Macaca mulatta: one gene and its partners. The protein of the gene in region 1 purifies or fractionates together with the protein of each later gene. This does not show direct contact. Links are inferred from orthologs where the notes say so. Each region holds a gene or a part of one and is shown in the gene's direction. Other genes may lie near its edges. The genes, in order: ERBB4, WWOX and STAT5A.

Evidence for each region.
Region 2: the proteins of ERBB4 (region 1) and WWOX purify together in Homo sapiens (affinity purification with western blotting; 4 studies listed by BioGRID). This does not show direct contact. The link is inferred for Macaca mulatta from reciprocal best matches to the Homo sapiens genes ERBB4 and WWOX.
Region 3: the proteins of ERBB4 (region 1) and STAT5A purify together in Homo sapiens (affinity purification with western blotting; 3 studies listed by BioGRID, with this or other methods). This does not show direct contact. The link is inferred for Macaca mulatta from reciprocal best matches to the Homo sapiens genes ERBB4 and STAT5A.

Annotation. Positions count from the first base shown.
Region 1 is NC_133417.1:117,705,181-117,709,459, reverse strand, and holds the start of ERBB4 (receptor tyrosine-protein kinase erbB-4), read left to right. Parts: upstream 1-1,479; 5' UTR 1,480-2,119; coding exon 2,120-2,201; intron 2,202-4,279. UniProt on the Homo sapiens protein: Tyrosine-protein kinase that plays an essential role as cell surface receptor for neuregulins and EGF family members and regulates development of the heart, the central nervous system and the mammary gland, gene transcription, cell proliferation, differentiation, migration and apoptosis.
Region 2 is NC_133425.1:73,834,620-73,844,563, forward strand, and holds part of WWOX (WW domain-containing oxidoreductase), read left to right. Parts: intron 1-6,072; coding exon 6,073-6,258; intron 6,259-9,944. UniProt on the Homo sapiens protein: Putative oxidoreductase. Acts as a tumor suppressor and plays a role in apoptosis. Required for normal bone development. May function synergistically with p53/TP53 to control genotoxic stress-induced cell death.
Region 3 is NC_133421.1:66,625,466-66,636,142, forward strand, and holds the start of STAT5A (signal transducer and activator of transcription 5A), read left to right. Parts: upstream 1-5,204; 5' UTR 5,205-5,738; exon of another isoform or gene 5,739-5,897; intron 5,898-6,241; exon of another isoform or gene 6,242-6,520; 5' UTR 6,521-6,530; coding exon 6,531-6,658; coding exon of another isoform or gene 6,659-6,733; intron 6,734-6,958; coding exon of another isoform or gene 6,959-6,984; coding exon 6,985-7,141; intron 7,142-7,142; exon of another isoform or gene 7,143-7,262; intron 7,263-8,893; exon of another isoform or gene 8,894-9,004; coding exon of another isoform or gene 9,005-9,070; coding exon 9,071-9,160; intron 9,161-10,677. UniProt on the Homo sapiens protein: Carries out a dual function: signal transduction and activation of transcription. Mediates cellular responses to the cytokine KITLG/SCF and other growth factors. Mediates cellular responses to ERBB4.

The DNA of each region.
Region 1 (4,279 bases):
ACAGTTCTGCTGCAATCAGTACCATTATGGTCAAGTCACTGTCATCTGCTCTAGTTCCTTCCTGCCCTAGGCTGCTTCTGCTAAAACCGCATGCTCAGCTTGTTTGGCGTCTTCATGGAGCCTGTTATTTGCTGTGGGTCTAAGAAAGGGAAAGCTTCAGGCTTCAGGCATCTGTATTTCCTATCTGTTCTCAGCTCCATGGAAATTCTTAAGGGATGGAGCTATAGATAAGAGAGTGGGAAATGGAGATCCAGGTCTCAAATGAAAGGCAGGGTGGTTTGATTTTTAAGCTCCCCTGATACTTTTTATTTATATATTTGCTGCTTCTAGAAAAACCAAAAAAGGAAAGTGATTCATACATAGAATGCCTGTACAAATAGTAACTAATAACTTACTACCCCCAGGAGATTCTGGTCCTTGCCAGGGTGCGGTTTCAGAGCTGTAAAAGGCAAGGGATATGAACATTGATATGACCCAGTCCCAGAATATTTTAGATTCAGAAAAGGTCAGAGATTTTCATAACTAGCAATGACCTCCGGATTAGGGACCATGAATGTGCAGAGTGAGGACAAGGAAAGGGCCTAAAGCTGGGTCTACTGTAGAAGAAGCAGAATCATTTAAGGTTAATTATGTTCTGATGTGGCCTCCTTAAATACTTTCAGGTTGAGACAATTTCTAGCCCTTTAAGATTAAATCAGTGGCTTTGGACTAGAATCTGCTTAATAAGAATGAACTCCAAAGGTGAAAAAAACATAAAATCTAAAAATCAAAGGGTATGGCTTTATAAATGTGAAATTTTAGTTTGGCTCAATGTCGGTCAGTTTGGAAATGTGGGAATAACCGGAGAGATGGCATAACTGGGGGCGGGAGGCGGGGCGGTGATTATATCCCTACCACCACCTAATCCTCAGGGGCTACTAGTTACTTACTGTGCACACTTTTAAAGTACTTTCTAATTGTGGACCATGAGTGGCAGAGTGCTGCGGGCGGAGGCTTTTTGCTGAAAGCAACGTTGACTTTTCTTTTATTTCTAGGGAAAGTCCTGTCTGTAGATAAGCACCGTGGGACAATGGAGAAAATGCTGACTTGTTTTTTTAAAAAATCTTTTCTGTAAGCGCCCCTCCGATGGTCTGTCCACTCTGCGGGCCAGCTGTCCCAGGCCTCTGCCAGGGAGGGAAGAGGAGTGCTTCAGTGCATGGCTTCGGTGAGCCCTTTAAATCCAGCTTCCCCTGCCCCCACCAAGCTGCTCCCTCTCCCTGACAGGTGTTTTCCCAACTCCGGAGGCCTAGGATTTTGGGGAGTGGCTGAGCCAATGAGATTTCCCTTTGGGGCGGGGGGCGGGGGAGAAGGGCGTGGCTAGTTGGGTCAGAGCATGGGCGGGGTTTGCGCGGCTGAGCAGAGCCTGCCTGGTTGCGTGGAGGGTTGTTTTATTCCCACCGCCCCCCCCACCTTTTTTTTTTCTTTTTTTTTTTTTTTTCTGGAGTCTTATTAATTTCTCTGTGGGCTGCAGCTGGAGACCGCGGAGCGTTGGAAATGACGCTCGGAGCTTTAATTACCGCAGCCGCCGGACAAGTGTGAGGAAAGCTGACAGGAAAAAGAAGGACGGGATCCGGGGAGAAGCGAGAAGCTCCCCCCGCCCCGCTCCCCTCCCCATTTGGACTGGAGGTGCAAGGAAACTGAAGAAGGAGCAGAACACAGCCCGGCTGCGGGGAGAGGCCGGAAACCTACTGCCTCTTTGCAATCAACTTTTTTTGGAAACCTTTCGCCCCCCTTCCTTTTTTATTGTTGACCAACCAGTGAGAGAGAGAGAAAGTGAGGAGGCAGCGAGCAAGCGAAGGCTCACGCGGGGAAATAACTGCACAGTTCGGCCCGGACCGCCACGCGCACACACCGAGCACACTCCAACACACGCACACTCGCCCCCTCTTCGGGCCCCGGCCCTGGACCCGCGGGCGCGGACTAGGTCGCCCGCCCTGGGAGTCGCTACACCGCGCGCGCCGCGCCCGCCCCCCTCGCGCCCCCACGCGCGCCCGGCTGGGGGATCTCCTCCGCGTGCCCGAAAGGGGGATATGCCATTTGGACATGTAATTGTCAGCACGGGATCTGAGACTTCCAAAAAATGAAGCCGGCGACAGGACTTTGGGTCTGGGTGAGCCTTCTCGTGGCGGCGGGGACCGTCCAGCCCAGCGATTCTCAGTCAGGTGGGTTCCTTCTGGCGCTCCGGTCGCCTAACCTGCCGCCGCCGGCGGGGCTGCCTTGAGTGGCTCCCCCGCCCTCTTCACCCATCCCGGGAGGCGTGGAGGGACCGCTCGACCGGGACTTCTTCCCTGGGCTCTCGGTCGCCCCTCTTTCCATTTGAAACTTACCCTGTATGTGTGCCTGTGCTTTATCGTGAAGAAATCACTCTGAGCCCCTCTTTTTTCTCTCCTTAACCCCCTGTTTTTCTTTCCCGAGCGTTTTGTGTGGGAGCCTAAGCGGGATCCCTTCTGGTGGCGCCTGTTGTTCGGGACATGGGAGACCCAAATCCCCAGTCAGAGGAGACTCTCCTGTCCCTGTCTGGTCCCTCGAGGGAGGAACCCTCACCGCCGGGGCCGCGGAGGGCCGGGGTCCTGGGGAGGTGCTGGCTGGGCCTCTCCCGCGCCAAGCCTGAAGGGCGGTGGAGAGTGGCGCTCAGAGACCCGGGCTTTGCACCTGTGTGTGCTGCCGGCGGCCGCTGCGCCCCCAGTCGCCCAAGCCTTGTGGGGTCAGACGCGACTCGTACCCAGCCCGGGCAGCAAGAGTGCAGCGGGCGGGCGCGCCTCGGTCCGGGGTCTGGAGCTCTGGGCCTCTTCGGCCTGCTTCCCGGAGCCCTCGCCCCATTGACTTGAGGGGCGCTTGCTCGCCTGCATGACCTCTTAAAAAAAAAAAAAAAAGGCTTGGCACACTCGAGCCAGAAGCCGGGCCTTCCCGTCGGTTGCCGTGTTTGGCTCCTGGAAGAGTTCTTCCTGTAGTTCAACTTGCTATTGGCCGGAGTCCTTCAAACTTGTCTGTTTACTGCCTGGCCGGGCTGCCGAGCCTGCGGGTCACTGGATCCACCCGAGGCGCAAGCGGCGGCGGCGGGTGCGCGGCCACTGCTTGCTGGAGAGCTCGAGCCCCAGGTACCTGGGCAGGCAAAGGGCTAATTGACCCCGAGAGGCAGCGCGGCGGGGTTGGAGCGCCAAGGCTTGCAGGACTAATGACAGCACCTGCAGTGCAAGGAAGCTCAAAGTTTCTGACACTTGAGTTTCCTGGGGATGAAAGTGGGACGGGAGAGGTCTGAGGAGGACCGGTGTCTGATGCGGCCAAGGGGTGCCTTTTGGAGAGCCAGGGAGATTTCTGAAACCATTCGGGGATGGTGACTGGAGCGTGGGAAGTAGCTTGAGGTGATAAAGCCCCCGGGAGTGGCGATAGGGAGCGCTTTAGGCCCCCGGAGGGTGTCCTTCTGACCTCACCAAGGAAACAGCAAGCTGTAGTTTTCCCGCTCCGCCCCCGCCGCCGCCGCCTCCTTTGCCTAGTAAACAACAAGTTACAATCATCGAGGCTTTCAAAATGACCTTCGAATGGCACATGTGCGGCGTTTTGTGCTGGCTGTTTGCACCCTCCCAATTACTCCGAAATTCTTCACGCATACCAGGTCCCGCGCTCCAGCCACCCCCGGAATCACACCAACACGGACTTGACATTCCAAGCGGCCTCTTAGATACATCTCTTTTTATCTCCCTCCCCACTTCGAGTCCCTTCATATTTTCCCTCAATGGGTTGATTATACACATTGACCCATTCAAAGGCAGTGGCGACCGACATGCAGGCTTAGCCGAGAGGAATTTCTACGAGGCGACCTACTGGGGGCTGGCTGGTTCAGCCTCTGCCGCTGAGGGACCCCGCTCCGAGTCCGCAGCAATTTGGTATTAACTGTGCGGCTCCGGGTTGAGCTATGCCGAAAAGCCCTTTTCAGAATTTCTGCAAGGAATGTAATCCAAATTAGTTCTGCAGCTGTCCTCTTCCTCGTCTCAGGCGACACCAGCTCGCGCCCTCGCTCATCTCTTCTCGTTTCGTTGGGCGAATTGTCAGACCCACAAGTGAGCCCATTTAGAGCGCGAGGATTAGCGTGCCATTGTTCCGTGTGTGACTCTGTACTTGAAATTCTGGGGGCACAAAGGCGAGTCTCACTTGTTCAAAACACAAAGTGATCCAGATGAAAGGGCCGTACAAAGAAAAACTCTCGGGTGCATCCCTGGTATAATTGCAACACGCATACTAA
Region 2 (9,944 bases), on another chromosome or scaffold:
CTGTGAAACCACTATTACTCTGACAACAGAACCAGACGAAGATATCACAGAAAAAGGAAACTTTAGATCACTTTCTCTTATGAATAGAGATACAACAATTTTGTACAAAATGCTAGCAAGCCAAATTCAGCCACATATATAAAGAATTGTACATTATGACTAACTGGGATTTATCCAAAGAATTCAAGGTTGGTTTTACATTAAAAAATCAGTCAATACCATTATAGTATATGGTATAATAAAAACACATAAAAACACATTTTAAAAAGGTCCAACACTCTGTCTTGATGAAAACTTTTAGTAAACTTGCATCAAAGTGGCATTTTCTCAACTCAATAAAGGGCATCTGCAAAAAAACCACAACTGACATCATACTTAATGCTGAAAGATTGAGTACTGTTCCCTTAAGATCAAGAAATAAGACAAGGATATTGACTCTCACCACTTTCATTTAATATTCTGCTAGAAGTCCTAGCTAGGGCAATTGGGCAAAAAAACAAAAAAGCAGAAGACTGAAAAAAAAAATCCAGATTGGAAAGAAGTAAAACTGTGTTTATTTGCAAATGAAGTCACCTTATCTGTAGAAAATCCTAGAAATACACTTAAAAAATATTAAAACTAACAAGTTCAGCCAGGATAAATGTAGGATAAAAGTTTAATATGCCTGAGTCAATTGTATTTCTATATACTAGCAATGAAGGCATCCCATGTTCATGGATCAGAAGATTTAATATTGTATAGCTGACCAAACTCTCCAAATTATCTACAAATTTAGTGCAATCTCTATTAAAATTTCAGTTGACTTTTTTGCAGAAATTGAAAAGCTGATCCTACATTTTATATATGAATGCAAAGGAACCTGAAGAACCAAAACAAGCTTGAAAAAGAATAGCATTGAAGGCCCTCCATTTATCAATTTCAAAACTTTCCATAAATCTTTAGTAATAAAGACAGTGTCATACTAGCAGAAGAATAGATCTATAGGTAATAAAATAGAATTGAGAGTCCAGATGAATCCATGTATATGGTAAATTGATTTTCAGCAAGGATGCCAAGACAATTCAAAATAGTCTTTTCAACAGTGATGCTAGAACCACTGGGCGTCCCCATGCAAAAGAATGAGGTTAGATCACACTTGCATAAACTACACAGAAAAAAATAGCAAAATAAATAAATAAATAAATAAAAATGGGTCAGAGACTTAAGAGCTAAAACTGTACAGCTCTTAGAAGCAAATATGGTAGTATATTTTTGTGATGTTGACTTAGACAATTATTTCTTAGATATAACCCCGACAGCACAAGTGACAAAAGAAAAAAAAAGATAAATTGGGTTTGATCCAGAATCAAAAGTGTTTGTGCTACAAACGATACCATCAAGAAAGTATACAGATGATCTACAGAATGGGGGAAACATTTACAAATTAAATATCTAATAAGGGATTTATATCTAGAATAAAGAGCTTTCACAACTCAATAATAAAAACTCAGTTAAAAAATAAGCATAAAATCTAAATAGATATTCCTCCAAATGTGATACACAAATTGCCAATGAATACATAAAATGATGTTCAACGTCATGAGTCATTAGGGAAATGCAAATGAAAGCCACCATGAGATTCCACTTCTTAGTAGGATGGCTAAAATTAAAAAGTCAGATAACAAATACTTAGGAAGACATGGAGAGATGAAAGTTCAAATACAGTCCTGGTGGAAATGTAAAATTGTACGGCCACACTGGAAAACAGTTTGGCCATTGTTCAAAAAGTTAAACATTAGGTTACCATATGACCCAGCCATCCCACTCCTAGACGTATTCTCAAGAGAAAAGAAAACATGCATTTCCACAGCACTTTACAAATGAATGTACATAGCAGTGATATTCCTAGTAGCCAATAAATGGAAACAATCCAAATATCCATCATTGGTGAATGGGTAAACAAAGCGCAGTATATTCATATAATGGAATATTATCTGCCCATTAAAAAGAAATGAAATATTGATATATGCTACAACATGGATGAACCTTGCAAACATCATGCCAAGTAACAGAAGCCAGTCACAAAAGACTATGCATTTTATGGTTCCATTTAGTATATACAATGTTCAGAATAGGTGAATCTATAGGACAGAAAGTAGATTAATGGTGTTTTGGGGATAAGAGTGTATGTAGGTGGGTAGAGGGTGGCTAGTGATTGCTAATGGGTTTTTTTTTTTTTTTTTTGAGTTAAAGTGCCATACAATTAGAATGTAGTTATGGTTATACAATTATTTGAGTATACTGAAACAGTTGTACAGTGTACATACATAGATTTTTTGGTATGTGAATTATATTTCAGTAAAGTTCTTTAATTAGTTTATGCTTATTGTAGAAAAGTTGGAAAATACCCAAAATCATAAACAGGAAATAGAAAAAAAGTAATCCTGACTGGATATCTGGAAATTCTTTTTGGGGGGTATGGGGTATGAATCACACATATAAAATTTAATTTCCTACTTTTTCAATTAAATTGAGAAAGTTTAGGAATCTTTGGCTTAATCATTGTTTATCTACTCCTCTTGCTGGATGTTAGGTTGTTTCTAGTTCATATAGAATTTTATAATTTTAGTTGATGTATCATGCATTCTTGGGCATAAGCTTTTATATGAAGTTTGAATATTAGGAAAGAATTTTGGAAGCTATATTAGTTTTCTAAAACTATTATAACAAATTAACACAGATTGAGTGGCTTGAAACAACAGAATTTTAGTCTCTTACAGTTTCAGAGACCAAACATCTGAAATCAAGTGGTCTACAGTGTTGGTTCCTTCTAGAGGCTCGAAGGAGCATCTGTTCCGTGCCTGCCTCCTAGCTTCTTGTGACTGCCAGCCGTCCTTGGAATTTCTTGGCTTGTGTCTAAGTCACTCTAGTCTCTACATCTTTCCATCTCCTTCTCTGTGGGTGTTCCTTCTCCACTTCTCCTTTTTTGTAAGGATAGTCATGTCATTGGATTTAAGGCCCACCTTAATCCAAGATGATCTTGTTTCAAGATGTGGGCTTAATCACACTTGCAAAGACTCTTTTTCCAGATAAAGTCACATTCACAGATCGCTACCATTCAACCCAACCCACTATGGAAGCAATGGGGTGGGAGGTACCATTCAACCCACTATAGAAGCAGTGGCATATCAAAAGGATGGGAGGTAGCCATGGGAATGGTCTGCCCCAGGTGCACGCAAAATGGGGAAGCATTTTGTATAGAATGGAAAAACAACAGCAAAGATAGCTAAAAGTTGATCTGCTTTTTACAATCATGTGCTGACAGTTCTAAACATTATCAGTGATAAAATACTTCTCCCTAGTGATATTAACTGTGCCATTTCTGCTGCCCCTGCTACATACATGCTTTACTGCTTGGAAACAGGATTACTTGGTGAAATAATATGAACCTTTCAATTCTCATGATACATGTTTTCAGCTTAATATCCAGGGTGCAACCCCCCAACTTTATACAAGGTAATACAAATATAATAGTATGAATACATATGCTAATTTGATAGAAAATATTTTAATGTTTACTAGTGTAGTTGGAGGTGTTAAGTATTGCACTGGTTATTTGTAATCTAGTTTTATAAAATTTCTAATGTCACTGTTTCTGTTAGACTCTTAGAAGACGCGTGGTTCTCTCATAGATATGTAAGAACTGTTTATATAGTAAAAATATGCGGCCTCTAAATGATTGCTTATATTTTTCACTTTTGTTTTACTTTTTTAGAGAGCAGAATATTTAATTTCTATAAAGATTTTTCTTTATGTTTCCCTTTATTGCATGCCAGTGTTCGTTTTTTAAAAACTTGTAACTCTTAGGCTGCGATGTGAAAACTGTCTTTCTTTTTTTTTAATTTGGAGACAGAGTTTTGCTCTAATGCATGCAGTGGTATGATCATAGCTCAATGCAGCCTTGAATTCCTGGGCTCAAGTAATCCTCCTATCTATCTCAGCCTTCCAAGTAGGTGGGAGTACAGGCACACGCCACCACACCTGGCTAATGTTCTGGTGGTGGTTGTTGAGATGGGGTCTTGCTGTGTTGCTCAGGCTAGTTTTGAATACTGGCTCAAGTGATTATCCTGTCTCAGCCTCCCAAAGTGCTGGAATTTCAGAGGTGAGCCACTGTGCCCAGATTTCTCTCTCTCTCTCTCTCTATATATATATATATATATTTTTTTTTTCTTTCTTTGAGATGTAGTCTCTATCTGTTCCCCAGGCTGGAGTGCAGTGGCATGATCTCAGCTCACTACAACCTCTGCCTCCTGGGTTCAAGCAATTCTCCTGCCTTGGCCTCCCAAGTAGCTGGGATTATAGGCGCGTGCCACCACACTGGGCTAATTTTTTTATTTTTAGTAGAGACGAGGTTTCACCATGTGGTTAGGCTGCTCTCGAACTCCTGACCTCATGATTTGCCTGCCTCAGTCTCCCAAAATGCTGAGATTACAGGCGTGAGCCATCGCGCCCGCCCTTATTTTTATATATCTTTCATAACGTTTCTATCTCTTTCTCTCTCTTTCTCTGTTTCTGTGTGTGTCTGTGTCTGATAATAAAATACATTAAATTTTATTTTATAACGTGTTTTATAAGGTCAGTAGATTTGTTTGTGATTTTAATGGCTGCATAGTGTTCTATCATGTGGGTATATTCTAAATGTAATAATTCCTCAATGGTGTATTTAGTTTACTTCTAGTTTGCTGCCTTAGTTTATCACAAACATGGTGAATAGCCTTGTGTATATTTTGTTGTACAATTCTTATTGGTACATTATGATTTTTCACCAGTATATATTTACTTTTTGAGAATTTAGCTTTTTGATTCACATGAAAGGATTACTTTTATCGTTAACAGTTTTATTATGTTTGTGAGGCCTAGGCAGGAGGATTGCTTGAGACCAGGAACTCAAGATCACCCTGGGCAACATAGCGGGAGTCCGTCTCTACAAAAATAAAAAAGAAATAAAGTAGCCATGCATGGTGGTGTGCCCCTGTAGTCCCAGTAACTCAGGAGGCTAAGATCGTCTGAGCCTGGGAGTTTGAGACTGCAGTGAGTTACGACCACACCACTACACTCCAGCCTGGATGACAGAGCAAGATCTTGTCAGAAAAAAAAAAAAAAAAGATTAAATATATACAAAATAAGAGAGAATATTATGACAGGCTTCTACTTACCTATCTCTAGGCTTCTTTATAAAATATTCATTTAATCTGATCTCCACAAGAAATTCTGTATCTTTAAACAGTATGTACCTTCTCTTTAGACAGAGCATTTACCCCCTTGCTATGCTTGCTTAGCACCTACCAAGTCCTGGGTCCTGTGTCAGTTGTTTTGTTTTTTCTTTGTTTGTTTGTTTGTTAATTTGTTGAGATAAGAGTCATGCTCTGTTGGTCAGGCTGGAGTGCAGTGGCATGATCTCAGCTCCCTGCAACCTCTGCCTCACGGGTTCAAGCGATTCTCCTGCCTCAGCCTCCCGAGTAGCTGGGATTACAGACATGCACCACCACACCTGGCTAATTTTTTTTTTGTATTTTGATAGAGATGGGGTTTCACCATGTTGGTCAGGCTGGTCTCAAACTCCTGACCTTAAATGATCCACCCGCCTCGGCCTCCCAAAGTGCTGGGATTGCAGGTGTGAGCCCCCATGCCCGGCCCTATGCCAGCCTTTCTAACAGCATAATTTCTCCTTTATTACTCATAACTATTTTAAGGGCTATTTTTATTTACAGACAAAATGAGACTTGGATGAATTAAGAAAGACGGAGTTAATCAGGTGGTTGAATCTGAGTTCCAGCTAGGGTGACAACTCTTCCCGGATTGGCTGTCACTGTCCTGGTTTTCGCACTGAAAGTCCTGTGTCCTAAAAAGCCTCTCATTCTCAGCAACAAAGGACAGTTGCCCACTCAAAGCCATGCGACATTCTAGGGTATCCTATTTCTAAATGGTTGGAATCTAGAAGACGGAGAAAGAATTTCTCATTCCTGAAGGAGCATTGATTATGCTTGGTTGTAGTGTTTATGTTCACATCATGTGGAATATTTTATTTTTCAGGCCTCTTCATGTGCTTGTGTGCAACGCAGCAGCTTTTGCTTTACCCTGGAGTCTCACCAAAGACGGCCTGGAGACCACCTTTCAAGTGAATCATCTGGGGCACTTCTACCTTGTCCAGCTCCTCCAGGATGTTTTGTGCCGCTCAGCTCCTGCCCGTGTCATTGTGGTCTCCTCAGAGTCCCATCGGTGGGTTTGAATTGCATATTTGTTCACTTACCCCCTTTCTCATACCAGCTAATATTCCCCCAAGGCTCTCATTCTGAAAATAATTTTCATTAGTCCTACTTGAGACATGTGGGTGGACTCAACTTGGCTTACTTAATTTTTCCAGGTCTTTTTTGTGTGTGTGTGTGATTGTAGGGGACTGTTGAGAAGGACTGTCTAGAGCAACGAAGATTGTTTTTATGACTGTACTTCAAGCTCCTCATCGATTTTGCTTAGAGATGGAATAATAATTGATGAAATCTGAATGGCGTGACCTTTATTGATTTGTAATTCAACAACTTCAACATCTTACCAAGAAGAATGTGCAGTTACTCTAGCAGGAGAAACAATGCAATTAAAGCCTGCGAGATGAAATCCAATTGTTTTATAATGAGAAATTAGGGAATTCGATACAGACATTAGCTGTGTAATTGTGGAAAGGGAAGTACTGTAGTTAGAGCATATTAGAAATCTGGCCATGCCTCTTTTGGTTAAAATTTCAATTAAAACATCAGATGGCACTTTTTTCCTATTGCCATTAGGAGAATATTCAATTGACTGAAAAAGACATTTGAAAATTTCATCGTATTTTCAGCAGATTTGTTTCTAGAGTTGGATAAACAACTATTTGTCTAGAGAGAAATATTCCGAAAAGACAAAGGCCTTGCTGGATGAGGCTGGATTTAATATGTGTTAGGGAGATCTCTCTTTCACGTTTGCTTGGTGTGTGTTTTTGGGGGGGAGTTTACACTCTTAGCAGAGTAGCTAGAAAAAGAAATAATGTGAAAGGGGCGCATTTTTTTCTTCCTTCTTCTCCGTCTTAAGTCCTGAAATGTTTTAGTGACCCAGAATGAAGCTTACTTTTTTAATCATACTTCCATAAAATGTAACCCCTGGGACTTGGAAGAGATAGACCAGCCAAGGGTTAGCTTGAAACCTTTATCACTCCCAAACACAGGGGCTTATGGTGTAAGTGACACACTGCAGATAGATTTACTTTTGCCACTTTAAATTTATGATGGCTGAAATGAAAGGAAAATGCCAGTAATAATCCTCCCCCGTGTTAAAAGACATGAAACATCCAGTAATTAGGTGGTAACAAAATCTGGACAGCCTTATCTTTGCAAATCACACCAGGTTTGTGAAAGAAAGTGGAGTGGCCCTGTTAAGGGGCGAGGGAGGCTACTGTGGGGGCAGGCAGCAGAGAGAGCTCCAGAAATAAATCTGCCAGCCCCAGTCATCCACCAGATGTGGAGGGCACCACGGGATATGTTTAAATGAGCTGGTATTTAATGGGAGATTATGTTGAATTGTCAGCTGCTCACTCTCCTTTGTAAATCTGTATCTGAAGTGGTATTTTGTGTGATGTCTTTGTTCTCTCCTTAACTACAGTGTAATTCATGCCTACTTTGGAGATCCGAATCTTAGCTTCATTTAAAAGATTAATTTGAAAGGAAGGGACTTGGACTCTTGAATTAGACCTATCTTAGTTTGTAGGGAGGCCTTCCTGAGATGTGTTGTCGTGTTCACTCCTGTCTGATGGCTGGCACTAGTTTTCTGCTTTCCAATTATTCTTCGCACATTGTTGTAATTACTATTATTTTTTGAGAGAGAGTCTCGCTCTGTTGCCAGGCTGGAGTGCAGTGGCGCGATCCCAGCTCACTGCAACCTCTGACTCCCAGGTTTAAGCGATTCTCCTGCCTCAACCTTCTGAGTAGCTGGGACTACAGGCATCCACCACCACGCCCAGCTAATTTTTGTATTTTTAGTAGAGACAGGGTTTCACCATGTTGGCCAGGATGGTCTCGATCTCTTGACCTTGTGATTCGCCCACCTTGGCTTCCCAAAGTGCTGTGATTATCAGGCATGAGCCACCGCGCCCGGCTTCTTTGCACATTATTTAAAGGTGTTTTAACAAAATGGCAATTTCCCCAGGCTGGCTTGTGTATTACCTTTGCATTGCATCCCTTGGCTCCCATGAGCGAGCGTGGTGACTTGGTGCACAGGCGGTACGTGAAAACACTTCGCTCACTACCCAAGAACCCAGGGCCCTAAACCATGCTGTAAAATGCAAGTGTTGATATCTAATTACCTCCATAAACCTTGGCAGAATCTCTTCGTTGGAGTCAAGACCCCCTGTTAGGGGAAAAAATAAAGTCCTATGTTTGCAGAAAATATTATACTAGACTGCCCCAAGGCAAAATACTTATTAGCCTTCCTGTGTCTTCACTGTGTTTTAGTTACTCATCTGGAATCCGAGCAACTGAATTGAGTTTCTGCGTACCTAGAATACATCATAGTGAAATGAGAAGTTGACTTCCTTGCTGTGAAAAAATTTCAGATAACAGTTAAAGTAGAATGAAAAGGGCAGAGTGCTGGTTGAACAACCCTCAATGGCTGCAGCTGGATCGAGTGCCAAATTGCCCTCTCCCACCCCACACACAAAATCACGCAGTGACACACATACATACACACAAACACACACACACACACACACACACACACACACACACACACACACGGAGTTTCTGAGCTTCCGTGTAGATAGAATCCAGCCTAATTATTTTAGGCGGGAATTAAAAAAATCCTCAATAAAATTGGGCTTGGTGGCACATGCCTATAATCCCATCTAGTAAGAGGGTGAGGTGGGAGGATGGCTTGAGGCTGGGAGTTTGAGGTTGCAGTAAGCTTTGATCGTACCACTGCACTCCAGCCTGGGTGACAGAGTGAGACTCCATCTCTAAAATAAAAATTAAAAATTATTAGTTAAAAAAATGCAGTATAGGCCAGGCACAGTGGCTGATACCTGTAATCCCAGCACTCTGGAGTTTGAGATCAGCCTGGCCAGCATGGCGAAACCCCATCTCTACTAAAAATACAAAAATTAGCCAGTTGTGGTGGTGGACGCCTATAATCCCAGCTATTTGGGAGGCTGAGGCAGAAGAATTGCTTGAACCTGAGAGATGGAGACTGCAGTGAGTGGAGATTGTATCAGTGCAGATTGCACCAGTGGAGGGAGATTGTCATCAGCCTAGGTGACAGAGCAAGATCCTGTCTCAAAAAAAAAAAAAAAAAAAAAACCCCAAAAAGCAAAACCCCCACGGTGTATATACAAGAGTGGGCGGGGGTGGGGTGGGGGCCTCTTTTGTAGGGACATGGATGCAGCTGGAAACCATCATTCTTAGCAAACTATCACAAGAACAGAAAACCAAACACCGCATGTTCTCACTCATAGGTGGGAACTGAACAATGAGATCACTTGGACTTGGGAAGGGGAACATCACACACCGGGGCCTATCATGGGGAGGGGGGAGGGGGGAGGGATTGCATTGGGAGTTATACCTGATGTAAATGACGAGTTGATGGGTGCTGACGAGTTGATGGGTGCAGCCCAACTCGGCATACACCAACATGGCACAAGTATACATATGTAACAAACCTGCACGTTATGCACATGTACCCTAGAACTTAAAGTATTAAAAAAAAAAAAAGTGGGCGGGGGGGTCCCCTTACAAAGCAAGTGTTACTGTCCACAGAGCAAATGTCAATATCTTAATGTACTAGTAAGGGAAAATTCTGTTAAGACATAATTGTTTGGCTTTGTCAGTTTGTCAACTTGAAAACAGAGTCGGCAGCATCTGAAGAGTTGTTTTATTACCTGTGGAGCT
Region 3 (10,677 bases), on another chromosome or scaffold:
AGGGAGGAATGACATTCCAGGTAGATGGAATGAAAGGGGCTAGTGCTTAGAGTTGAGAGGCCAGTGTAAGGGGAACGGCCTGGCTGAAGCACTTTTTTGAGGCTTGGAGCAAGGAAGATGTGGGTAGATCTGAGACTAAAGAAACGAAGAAACAATGAGAAACAGATTGTACAGAAAGGAATCCCTTCCAGTCATAACAAAGGAAAGTGGCAGTATACTGGAAGGTGTCGTGGAAGATGCTCAGCCCCCTCGCACACAACCCTCAGAGGGCTTGAGATCGGGTCCTGGGCCGGCCGAGGCACAAAAGATTTCTTGTTGGGCTGTAAGGAGGAGAAACTAGCTCAGCGGGAAGAGAGGCCTGATAGTCATCATGGATGAGGATGAGAAGCCAGGTTTGACCCAGGGCCGTCCAGGACACTGCCAATTCCACTCAGCTGCCTGGCTCTGTGTGCCCTCTCTCGTCTCTCCAGGATCCTGGGCCTGGCCCTGCGATGAGGGGGCTGCAAAGAGTGGGCTCCTCCTGCCCACCTGACTGGCTGGGAAATGTGAACCTGGCACAGACTCTGCATCCTCTTCTCTTTGTCCAGAAAGAAACCGGCCTACAAGCCTCTCCCCCAGGCAGGCAGGCTGGGCAGCTGGGCAGAGGAGGCAGGACTCCCCTCCTACCCACCCTGTCCAGCCCCACACCCTTCCCCTCACGCTATTCCCAGAAACAGAGGACAGTCACTATGCCTCAGGCAGGATGGCCTGTGTTCTCTTGGTGACTTCATTGTAAGGCGACTTCCCTGAAGAGTGGTGGATAGGGGACAGCTGCAGGAACGGGCTTCACCCGAACTCCAGCAGCTCCTTCCCTTCCCCCAAATGTGCAAGAATTCCTCACCCTGTTCATATAAACACACACCCTCCCTAGGTCCTGCTCTGTCTTCATGGACAAGAACAGGGGTGGCATTTCTACAGGGAGGTCCCAGGGCCTGGCCTCAGAGGTGGGGCGTACTCTGAGCATGGGCCCATGGCCCCACTTCTAGAAGCCTTCTCCGGAGGGGCTGGCGTGCAGGTAGACTGTCCAAGCAGAGGCAAGGTGGGGGTGAAGCGGATGTTTAAGTGCTCCAGAGCTTCTCCCCCTCTGCCGCAGGGCAAAGAGATACTTCCTAGAAAGCCTCCAGCTTTCTTGGGAAGGCTGTTCACCCCCACCCCACCTCCCCTCTGGCTCCCATGTAACAGGAACTCTCCTTGAAGAAGGGACTTGGAGCACAGGAAACAAAGGCATCTCTGTACACCTCCCTCCACCCCCAAGGAAGGTCAGGTCAAGGTGACCTCAGTCTGTTCTCCCCAGGGTAGGGGCATGGGCAGACCTGATCGCCAAGGGCAAGGTAGAAAGGGGACCTGGGATAATTCTCTCTTTTTCTTTTTTGAGATGGAGTTTCACTCTTGTTGTCCAGGCTGGAGTGCAATGGCGCAATCTCAGCTAACTGCAACCTCCACCTTCCTGGTTCGAGCGATTCTCTTGCCTCAGCCTCCCAAGTAGCTGGGATTACAGGCATGCGCCACCACGCCCAGCTAATTTTTGGATTTTTAGTTCAGAAGGGGTTTCACCATGTTGGCCAGGCTGGTCTTGAACTCCTGACCTCAGGTGATGCACCTGCCTCAGCCTCCCAAAGCGCTGGGACTACAGGCGTGAGCCACCGCGCCTGGCCCTTTGGGATAATTCTCTTAATCCATAAACTCAAACCCACCTTCATGTAAGTGTGCACAGAGCACACTGTCCCACTCAATAGAGCAGAGGTGTAGGCTGGGTGAGAATGGAGGTGCTATGCTCCACACCACAGAACAGTGGTGGGCTAGCCCAGCCCAGGGAGGCCTCTTCACTCTCCTGGTGTGTGCCGGGCTTGGGGAACCCTAGAAAGGTTATACTGAGACCCTGCTAACAAGGCCCGGCAACTTGGATCCTGGTGCCATATGTGCACTTACTGGCCAAACAGCTTTGGGCAGGTTTCTTTCATGGACTAATCAAAGGGTGTGATTCTGGCTCTGACTGCCTTCAAGGTTATTGAAAGGATCCATTGAGTTGAAGAGCACAACCATGTTTGTACACAAATGCGCCTCAATGTAGTTCAGGATACGAATATAGTGTGCCAACTGCAGCCTAGGCTGCAGACTATTATTATTCCTAATAAAATATAGGAGGTCTTCTTTTGGAGAATATATTTCTTTTTTTTTTTTTCTTTTTTCTTTTCTTTTTTTTGAGACGGAGTCTCACTCTGTTGCCCAAGCTGGAGTGCAGGGGCGCAATCTCAGCTCACTGCAACCTCCGCCTCCCGGGTTCAAGAGATTCTTGTGCCTCGGCCTCCCAAGTAGCTGGGATTACAGGTGCGTGACACCACGCTCAGCTAATTGTTTTATATCTTTAGTAGAGACGAGGTTTCACCATGTTGGTCAGACTGGTCTCAAACTCCTGGCCTCAAGTGATCCTCCCACCTTGGCCTCCCAAAGCGCTGGGATTATAGGAGTGAGCCACTGCACCCAGCCTGGGGAATATATTTCTGTAAGATTTCTAAAATCCTTCCTCACTCCCCATCTAATGCTGTGACTTGGATTTGGGGGTGAAGAGCAATTAGGGGCAAGGAGGCCAGCCTCGGACCCCAGCTCAGTAAGACCCTCGACAGTTTCTGATCTTCCTGAACCCCCATCCCATGGCCTCAGTTTTCTCCTCTACAGTCTGGTTCCCCAGAACCACCAGGGTACTTTGTGGTGGGAAATCGCAGAGGCCAAACCAGGGGACTGAAAGCAAAAAGAAACCCCAAATTTGACATTTTCAGGTAGTTGTGTTATCTCGAGCCACGACTACAGTCACCTCTTCCCCTAACCCAACTCTGACACCCTTCCCTCTACTCCCTTGGGTGCCCCTTGCCCATCCTGGGAAAGTTCCGCAGCTCCTCCTCCTCCCCACTGCATCTCAAAGGGAGAACAGGCACAAAGAAATGGAGAGAAACTTAGACAGAATCAGAGAACGAGATGGAGACCTAATGAGACAGGGAGAGACACAGAGAGAATAAAAGCCAGAGGAGGGGCTGGGCGCAGTAGCTGATGTCTGTAATCCCAGCACTTTGGGAGGCCGAGGCGGGCGGGTCACCTGAGGTTGGGAGTTCAAGACCAGCCTGACCAACATGGAGATACCCTGCCTCTACTAAAAATACAAAATTAAAAATACAAAATTAGCCAGAAGCGGTGGCATATGCCTGTAATCCCAGCTACTCGGGAGGCTGAGGCAGGAGAATCACTTGAACCTGGGAGGCTGAGGTTGCTGTGAGCCGAGATCGAGCCATTGCACTCCAGCCTGGGCAACAAGAGTAAAACTCTATCTCAAAAAAAAAAAAAAAAAAAAAAATTGCCAGAGGGGGAAATATGCAATGAAATACACAGATATTTGGGGCCTTATAGTCAGAAACCAAATGAGGAGACTGTCAAACAAGGGCACAGCCACTGGGCACAGGGTCAGGGGGTGGGTGGCATAGGAGGGCTCTGAAAACACAGCCACACACCCTTTTAGGCCCATCCTTCCCGTTCTGTTCTCTGGCATCTCAATGCTAGCTTTTTAGGACCTAGGACTACCCACACTAAAGCCAAGCCCAGCCCAACCAAGACAGATGTTTGGTGGGTAGGGCTGCCTGCTGGAGCAACAGGCCTCTGCAGGCCCTGGAGGAGGAGTCTAGAGAGGCGGCTGCCTGGAAGAGAGCAGGCAGGACCCCCTCTCTTAAGCAGGCACCCCCACCCCGTCAGGTGCCCAGATGTCAGTGCATGGCAAGGGTGGCCCTCTGCCCTCCAGACCTGGCCGAGAGGACTTGAAAACCTGAGGAATCTGCTCCCATCAACTGACTTCCACACCTGCCTGAAGGGAACTGCTGGAGGGCACAGGTGCCAAGTGGGACCCACCCAAATGTGGCAATGGGTTTGTATCCAGCCACCAACAGGCTGCATGACAGTGGCGAAGTCACTTCCCCCCTCTGGCCTTTGTTTTTCCACTTGTAAATCATCTTTATGGTCATTTCCAGCTGTGGCACTTGGCTTCCATTCCAGGTGACCCCCTAGCTCTGTGTCTGACCCTCCCCTGCCAAATCCATTGCTCAGAGTGGGAAAGGAGAGGAGAGGGGCTATACTTCCTCCTCCCTGGGGCCCCCTGCAGAGTATCTGGGAAGCAAGGCTTCCCTACATCCTCCATGCACCCCCTTAGAGTTTTCAATTCCTTTCCTCGTGATCCTGCCAACGAAGACACTGTGACCACACAGGGAAGGTGGGGAGAACCCAGACATTTTGGCTTCTGCAGCTTTAAAGTTCTTTTTTTTTCCTCTGAAGTTAAAAGAATGAAACCGGGAGAGGTAGTAAGGGGCAAGAAGGGAGAGTGGGAATGGAGAGAAAAGGGCAGCTCTGAGAAGCAGATGGGGAGGGAGGCAGATGAGATGCACCCGCCCCCCACCCCCAGCCCAGGACATGAAGTCTTGGCTCAGCTGTGCTGTGAGTGGGCAGCTGGGCTGGCCCCTCCTCTGGTGCTGCCAACCCGCTGCCAGGCAGAGGGGAGGCCCAGAGGAGAGGGAAGCTGGGCAAAGGGGATGGAAGGCGTCCAGCCCGACCTTACCAAACCCCTTGGGCCTCGTGGGAAGGGGCCCCTTGGAGAGGGGGACTGAGGCTGTAGACAGGATGTTCACTGCTGTGGCAAGGCCTGTAGGCAGTTTCGAAGTTGGGAGGACTCAAGACGGTCCCTTCCTGGACTTTTCTGAAGGTAGAACCAGCCTCATAAATAACTAGGCTGGGTGAACGGGGGCTTTAGCTAGTTTATGGATCACAGTCGGCTGGTGAGGTCACGCGCCCACTGTGTGGCCCTGGGTGGCCCTGGGCAAGCCCCTTCCCCTCTCTGGACTTCCACTTCTTACCTGCAAATTATGGAGAGGGGGAGGGCTGAAACACATGACTGCCAAGGTTCTTTCCAGTTCCTCCGTCAGGGTTGAGTTTAGATGGCGGGAGTAAAAGAAGGAGGGAGGTGCTGCGGTGGTGGGCTTCTCTAGAATCCCCAGTCCTTCCCCTCCCTACAGTTTTGCCTCTGAGGTCACAAAACCTGTGGCCCCCAAGACACACACGCGCACACACGCGCGTGTACGCACACACCCCACACATTTGTTTTTTAATCTAGGGGCTCAAAAGATGACACTCGTCAGAGCTGGAAGGCATCGCCAATTGGTCCACCCTTCCCTCCTCCCTTTTTGCGGATGAGAAAACTGAGGCCCAGGTTTGGGATTTCCAGAGCCCGGGATTTCCCAGCGCCCCCTACCAACCACATTCCCCCGGCTATTCTGACCCGCCCCGGTTCCGGGACGCTGCCTCGGAGCCGCAGCCGAGGGCCGGCTGGGACTCCCGGGGGACCCCGCCGTCGGGGCAGCCCCCACGCCCGGCGCCGCCCCGCCTTGCAGCCCGCCGGAACGGCAGCCGCTGTTGCGCACTCGCAGGGGAGCCGGCGACCGAGGGCGGAGGCAGGGAGGGAGCGAGCGGGGCTGGGAGGGGTGCTGGCGCGGGCTCGCGCGCTGTGTATGGTCTATCGCAGGCAGCTGACCTTTGAGGAGGAAATCGCTGCTCTCCGCTCCTTCCTGTAGTAACAGCCGCCGCTGCCGCCGCCGCAAGGAGCCCCGACCGGGAGCGAGAGCCGCGGGGCGCAGAGCCGGCCCGGCTGCCAGACGGCGCGGCCCCACCAGGTGGGTGGCCCGGTGGCGCGTCCTGGGCGGCGCGCGGAGAGGGGACACTCGACTGCCGCCCCGGCACCTCCGACACCCGGAGCCCGACGGCCGGGCGCAGCGCGGGGATCAGTCCCGGGCACCGCGAGGGAGTTGGCACAGCGCAGACAAGGGAGGAGGGACAGGGGTCGGGGATGAAGGGCAGTGGCCAGGGAGGGCGCTGTCCTGGCACGCATCGTAGAGGGAGCACTGTCGGGCTGGACCCGGGGAGACACTAGTGCACAACTGGGGGAGCAGCTGAAAAGGGGAGCGCCCAAGTCCCCAGCCCTCTCTCCTGAACAGCCCCAGCCACGTGCCCGAAAAGCCCTAGCCTTCGAGTGGGAGCTGTCGGCGCTGGCCTAACTTTGGGTTGGAGTATCTCCCCTTCCCAGAAACTGGGCCCGAGGCAGGCTGGGGGGATCCTTGCAGCCCTCTCCAGAGGGCCTGTGGGCCTCCCGCCTTCAAGTTTCTCTTTCATTTTCTAGCCGTACCCCCCACTGGGGAAGCTCCGGTGGGGCAAGGGGAGAGGAAGACGGGGAGGGCACCTGCTTCTGCAGAGCACCTTCTCCTCCCCTTCAACGGGTTCCTCGTTGGAGGGGATGGGCTGCCCTCCATCTCTGTTCCCGAACAAGAAAGCTGTCTGTGGGAAGGGAGGGGCCTGGCCTGACCGCGGTCCAGGGATAGGTAGGCATGGCAGGGCCAGGGGCAGGCCCGGTTCCTTGGCCTCTGGAGAGGAGAGCACTTCAGCGCTCGGCTCGCCCTAGGTGAACGGCCATGGCAGGCTGGATCCAGGCCCAGCAGCTGCAGGGAGATGCGCTGCGCCAGATGCAGGTGCTGTACGGCCAGCACTTCCCCATCGAGGTCCGGCACTACTTGGCCCAGTGGATTGAGAGCCAGCCATGGTAGGCACGTCCCGCCCTGCCCCTCCTCAGAGGGTCCCTACCATCCAGGCCCTTTGGCCTCTAGTTCTACTCATGGTGGTTTGGTGTGACTCTGGTCCTGCCTGTCCTTCTCTGTGCGGAAGGGGTGGTGTCCCTGTGAAAGGGGAAGCCTGGGAGGACAGAGAATGGTTTTAGACTCGGATGTCTGTGGAGCTGCTGGGAACAAGTCTTGTGGGCCCTGGAGTGCCCTCGGTCATGAGCCTGGGGTCTCCACTTTATTCTGGGTCTCTGACCTCCTTGCCCAAGGAGGTGCCACAGTAGATTTTTCTCTCCTGCCCCGCCCCAAGGGATGCCATTGACTTGGACAATCCCCAGGACAGAGCCCAAGCCACCCAGCTCCTGGAGGGCCTGGTGCAGGAGCTGCAGAAGAAGGCGGAGCACCAGGTCGGGGAAGATGGGTTTTTACTGAAGATCAAGCTGGGGCACTACGCCACGCAGCTCCAGGTGGGTGTGGGCTCTGGGCCACCTACGGGGAGGCAGCATCATCTTGTTCCAGCATCAGAACCCCTGGGTTTTTTCCTGGCCTGGCCACTGACTCACCATGTGACCACAAACTTATTGGGAAGTTTTCTTTGATTTCCCCCACCCCCTCTTTCTAAATTAGACCTGTCAGATTTCTTTAGCATATTGCAAAGCAAGGGTGGGAGGTGTTTGTTGCCAACAGAGGGAGATGGGTGAACTGGCCTTGTGGAAGCAGCAGAAGGGATGGAGGGAGACTGAGTCAGGATTCCTGGGTTGGAGAAGGGAAGACCAGCACTCTAGAAATGAGGCAACCAGACCTCCCTCTTGGGCTTTTTTCAAGGTGAGAGAGGAGCTGTCCCAGAGACAAGAGCTGGACACAAGGGCTTTGAATTGAGGGTTTAGAAATAAGATGTAGCTTCTTCTTTACTTGAGGAGTAGGGGTGTGGAGGAAGAGAGGGAGTTTTTGTGGAAGCAGGAAAGGGGTGTGGGTAGTGATCACAGTCAAGCATTTATGGGAACTCACTTATGTTTCCTAGACAGCCCTTCAATACAGACAGCGGGGTGCCAGGGAAATACAGGTTCATCCCAGAGGAGGGAAAAACAGGAGAAACCTGAGGGGAACCAACATAGGAGGCCAGGGGCAGGGTGGTGGGAAGTACCTTGACCTTGGCATCAGATGTCCTGAGTCTGGAGTCATCTGCTTTCTCACTTGGTTGCATCTGGACAAGTACATAATGTCTCTCAGTATCAGTTTTCTCATCTGCGAAATGGGGATTATAGTTTCTGCTTATGTCCTAGGGTTTCCATGCTGTTAGTGCAGTGGTCCCCCACCACTTTTTGGCACCAGAGACCGGTTTCATGGAAGACAATTTTTCCATGGACCGGGATTGGGCAGGGAGGTGGTTTTGGGATGATTCAAGGGCATTACATTTATTGTGCACTTTATTTCTATTATTATTACATTGTATTATGTAATGAAATAATTATACAACTTACCACAATGTTGGATCAGTGGGAGCCCTGAGCTTGTTTTCCTGCAACTAGACAGTCCCATCTGGGGGTGGTGGGAGACAGTGACAGATCATCAGGCATTAGATTCTCATAAGAAGTGCATAACCTAGATCCCTCGCACACGCAGTTCACGATAGGGTTAGCATTCCTATGGGAATCCAGTGCCACTGCTGATCTGACAGGAAGTGGAGTTAAGGCTGTAATGCGAGCAATAGGGAGCAGCTGTAAATCAGATGAAGCGTCATTTGTTTGCTCACTGCCACTCACCTCCTGCTGTGTGGTCTAGTTCCTAACAGGCCACGGACCTGTACCAGTCCATGGCCCAGGGGTTGGGGACCCCTGTGTTAGAGTCAAAAGAGATGGTACATTGAAAGTGCTTCATAAGACCAGGCGCGGTGGCTCACGCCTGTAATCCCAGCACTTTGGGAGGCCGAGGCAGGTGGGCCACCTGAGGTCGGGAGTTCAGCCTGACCAATGTGGAGAAACCCCGCCTCTACTAAAATACAAAATTATCTGGCATGGTGGTGCATGCTTGTAATCCCAGCTACTTGGGAGGCTGAGGCAGGAGAATCGCTTGAACCCAGGAGGCAGAGGTTGCGGTGAACTGAGATCACACCATTGCACCTTTAGCCTGGGCAACAAGAGCAAAACTCCGTCTCAAAAAAAAAAAAAAAAGGGGAAAGTGCTTCATAAACTGTGGGTTTTTAATTCACTCCAAACCAGATATGAAGATGTTGGAGGGGAAGATGAGGATGAGGAACAGAAAGATAGAGGTGTCTGGGAGGCTTTCTGGGAAAAGCTGAGGCAGAGGCTGAAGGAGAGGAAGGGCTGGGCATGGCATGGGACTGGCATGGCTGGAGCAGAGGTTGGCTGCTGGAGGCTGCTGTTGGATTCTTTCAGAACACGTATGACCGCTGCCCCATGGAGCTAGTCCGCTGCATCCGGCACATTCTGTACAATGAACAGAGGCTCGTCCGAGAAGCCAACAATGTGAGTGTCCCTTGGGGATGGGGAGGGGTGTTGAGAAGTCCTTCCATATGCCTTTCTCTCCAGAAACAACTGTGTTTATAGAAAACAGCAGCACGAGGAGAGCACCAAGAAGATGAGGGACGTGGGCAAGTGTGAGAGGTGGCAGCATTGCACGCCAGGGTGGAGTGACCCCCTAGGTCCAGTCCCTGGCTCTACCACTTAACTAGCTGTGTGACTTGAGCAAGTTGCTTAATCTCTCTGAGCTTCTGTTCCTACTGTCTTTCTTTCTCTGTCTCTCTCTCTTTCTCTTTCTTTCTTTCTTTCTTTCTTTCCTTCTTTCTTTCCTTTTCTTTCCTTCTTTTCTTTCCTTCTTTTCTTTCCTTCTTTTCTTTCCTTCTTTTCTTTCTTTCTTTCTTTCTTTCTTTCTTTCTTTCCTTCCTTCCTTCCTTCCTTCCTTCCTTCCTTCCTTCCTTCCTTCCTTCCTTCCTTCCTTCCTTCCTTCTTTCTTTCTTTCCTTTCTTTCTTTCTTTCTTTCTTTCTTTCTTGTCTTTTTGACACAGAGTCTTGCTCTGTCACCCAGGCTGGATCTCGGCTCACTGCAAGCTCCGCCTTCCAGGTTCATGCCATTCTTCTGCCTCAGCCTCCCGAGTAGCTGGGGCTACAGGCGCCCACCACCATGCCCAGTTAATTTTTTGTATTGTTAGTAGACATGGGGTTTCACTGTGTTAGCCAGGATGGTTTCGATCTCCTGACCTCGTGATCCACCCGCCTTGGCCTCCCAAAGTAGTGGGATTACAGGTGTGAGCCACTGTGCTCGGCCCCTACTGTTTTTTTTTCCCCTGAGACGGAGTCTTGCTCTGTTGCCTAGGCTGGAGTGCAGTGACACGATCTCTGCTCACTGCAACCTCCGCCTCCCAAGTTCAAGCAATTATCTTGCCTCAGCCTCCCGAGTAGCTGGGATTACAGGTGCCCACCACCATGCCCAGCTAATTTTTTTTGTACTTTTAGTAGAGACAAGATTTCACCATGTTGGCCAGGCTGGCCTTGAACTCCTGACCTCGTGATCCACCCGCCTCAGCTTCCCAAAGTGCTGAGATTACAGGTGTAAGCCACCATGCCCGGCCTGTTCCTACTCTTGTAAAATGGAGATAGCAATCCTACCTATCCATGTCAGAAGAACTAACACAGGCAGGCTCAGAGAAGTGAGGCCCTGGGAGGGGTAACGGGGACGCATCTCCGCAGTTCTGAAATAATAAGAGCACTGGGCATCTACACGGACAATGGCACAGTGCTCTACCATCTGCAATAGAGCAAAAGGAATTTCACAACATGACGTAACAGTTAGAAATCTTAGAACAGTGACCAGAGCAAAGGTCATATTATTTATTTATTTATTTATTTATTTATTTATTTATTTATTTTTGAGACTGAGTCTTACTCTATCATCCAGGCTGGAGAGCAGTGGTGTGATCTCGGCTCACTGCAACCTCCGCCCCTTGGGTTCAAGAGATTCTCATGCCTCAGTCTCCGGAGTAGTT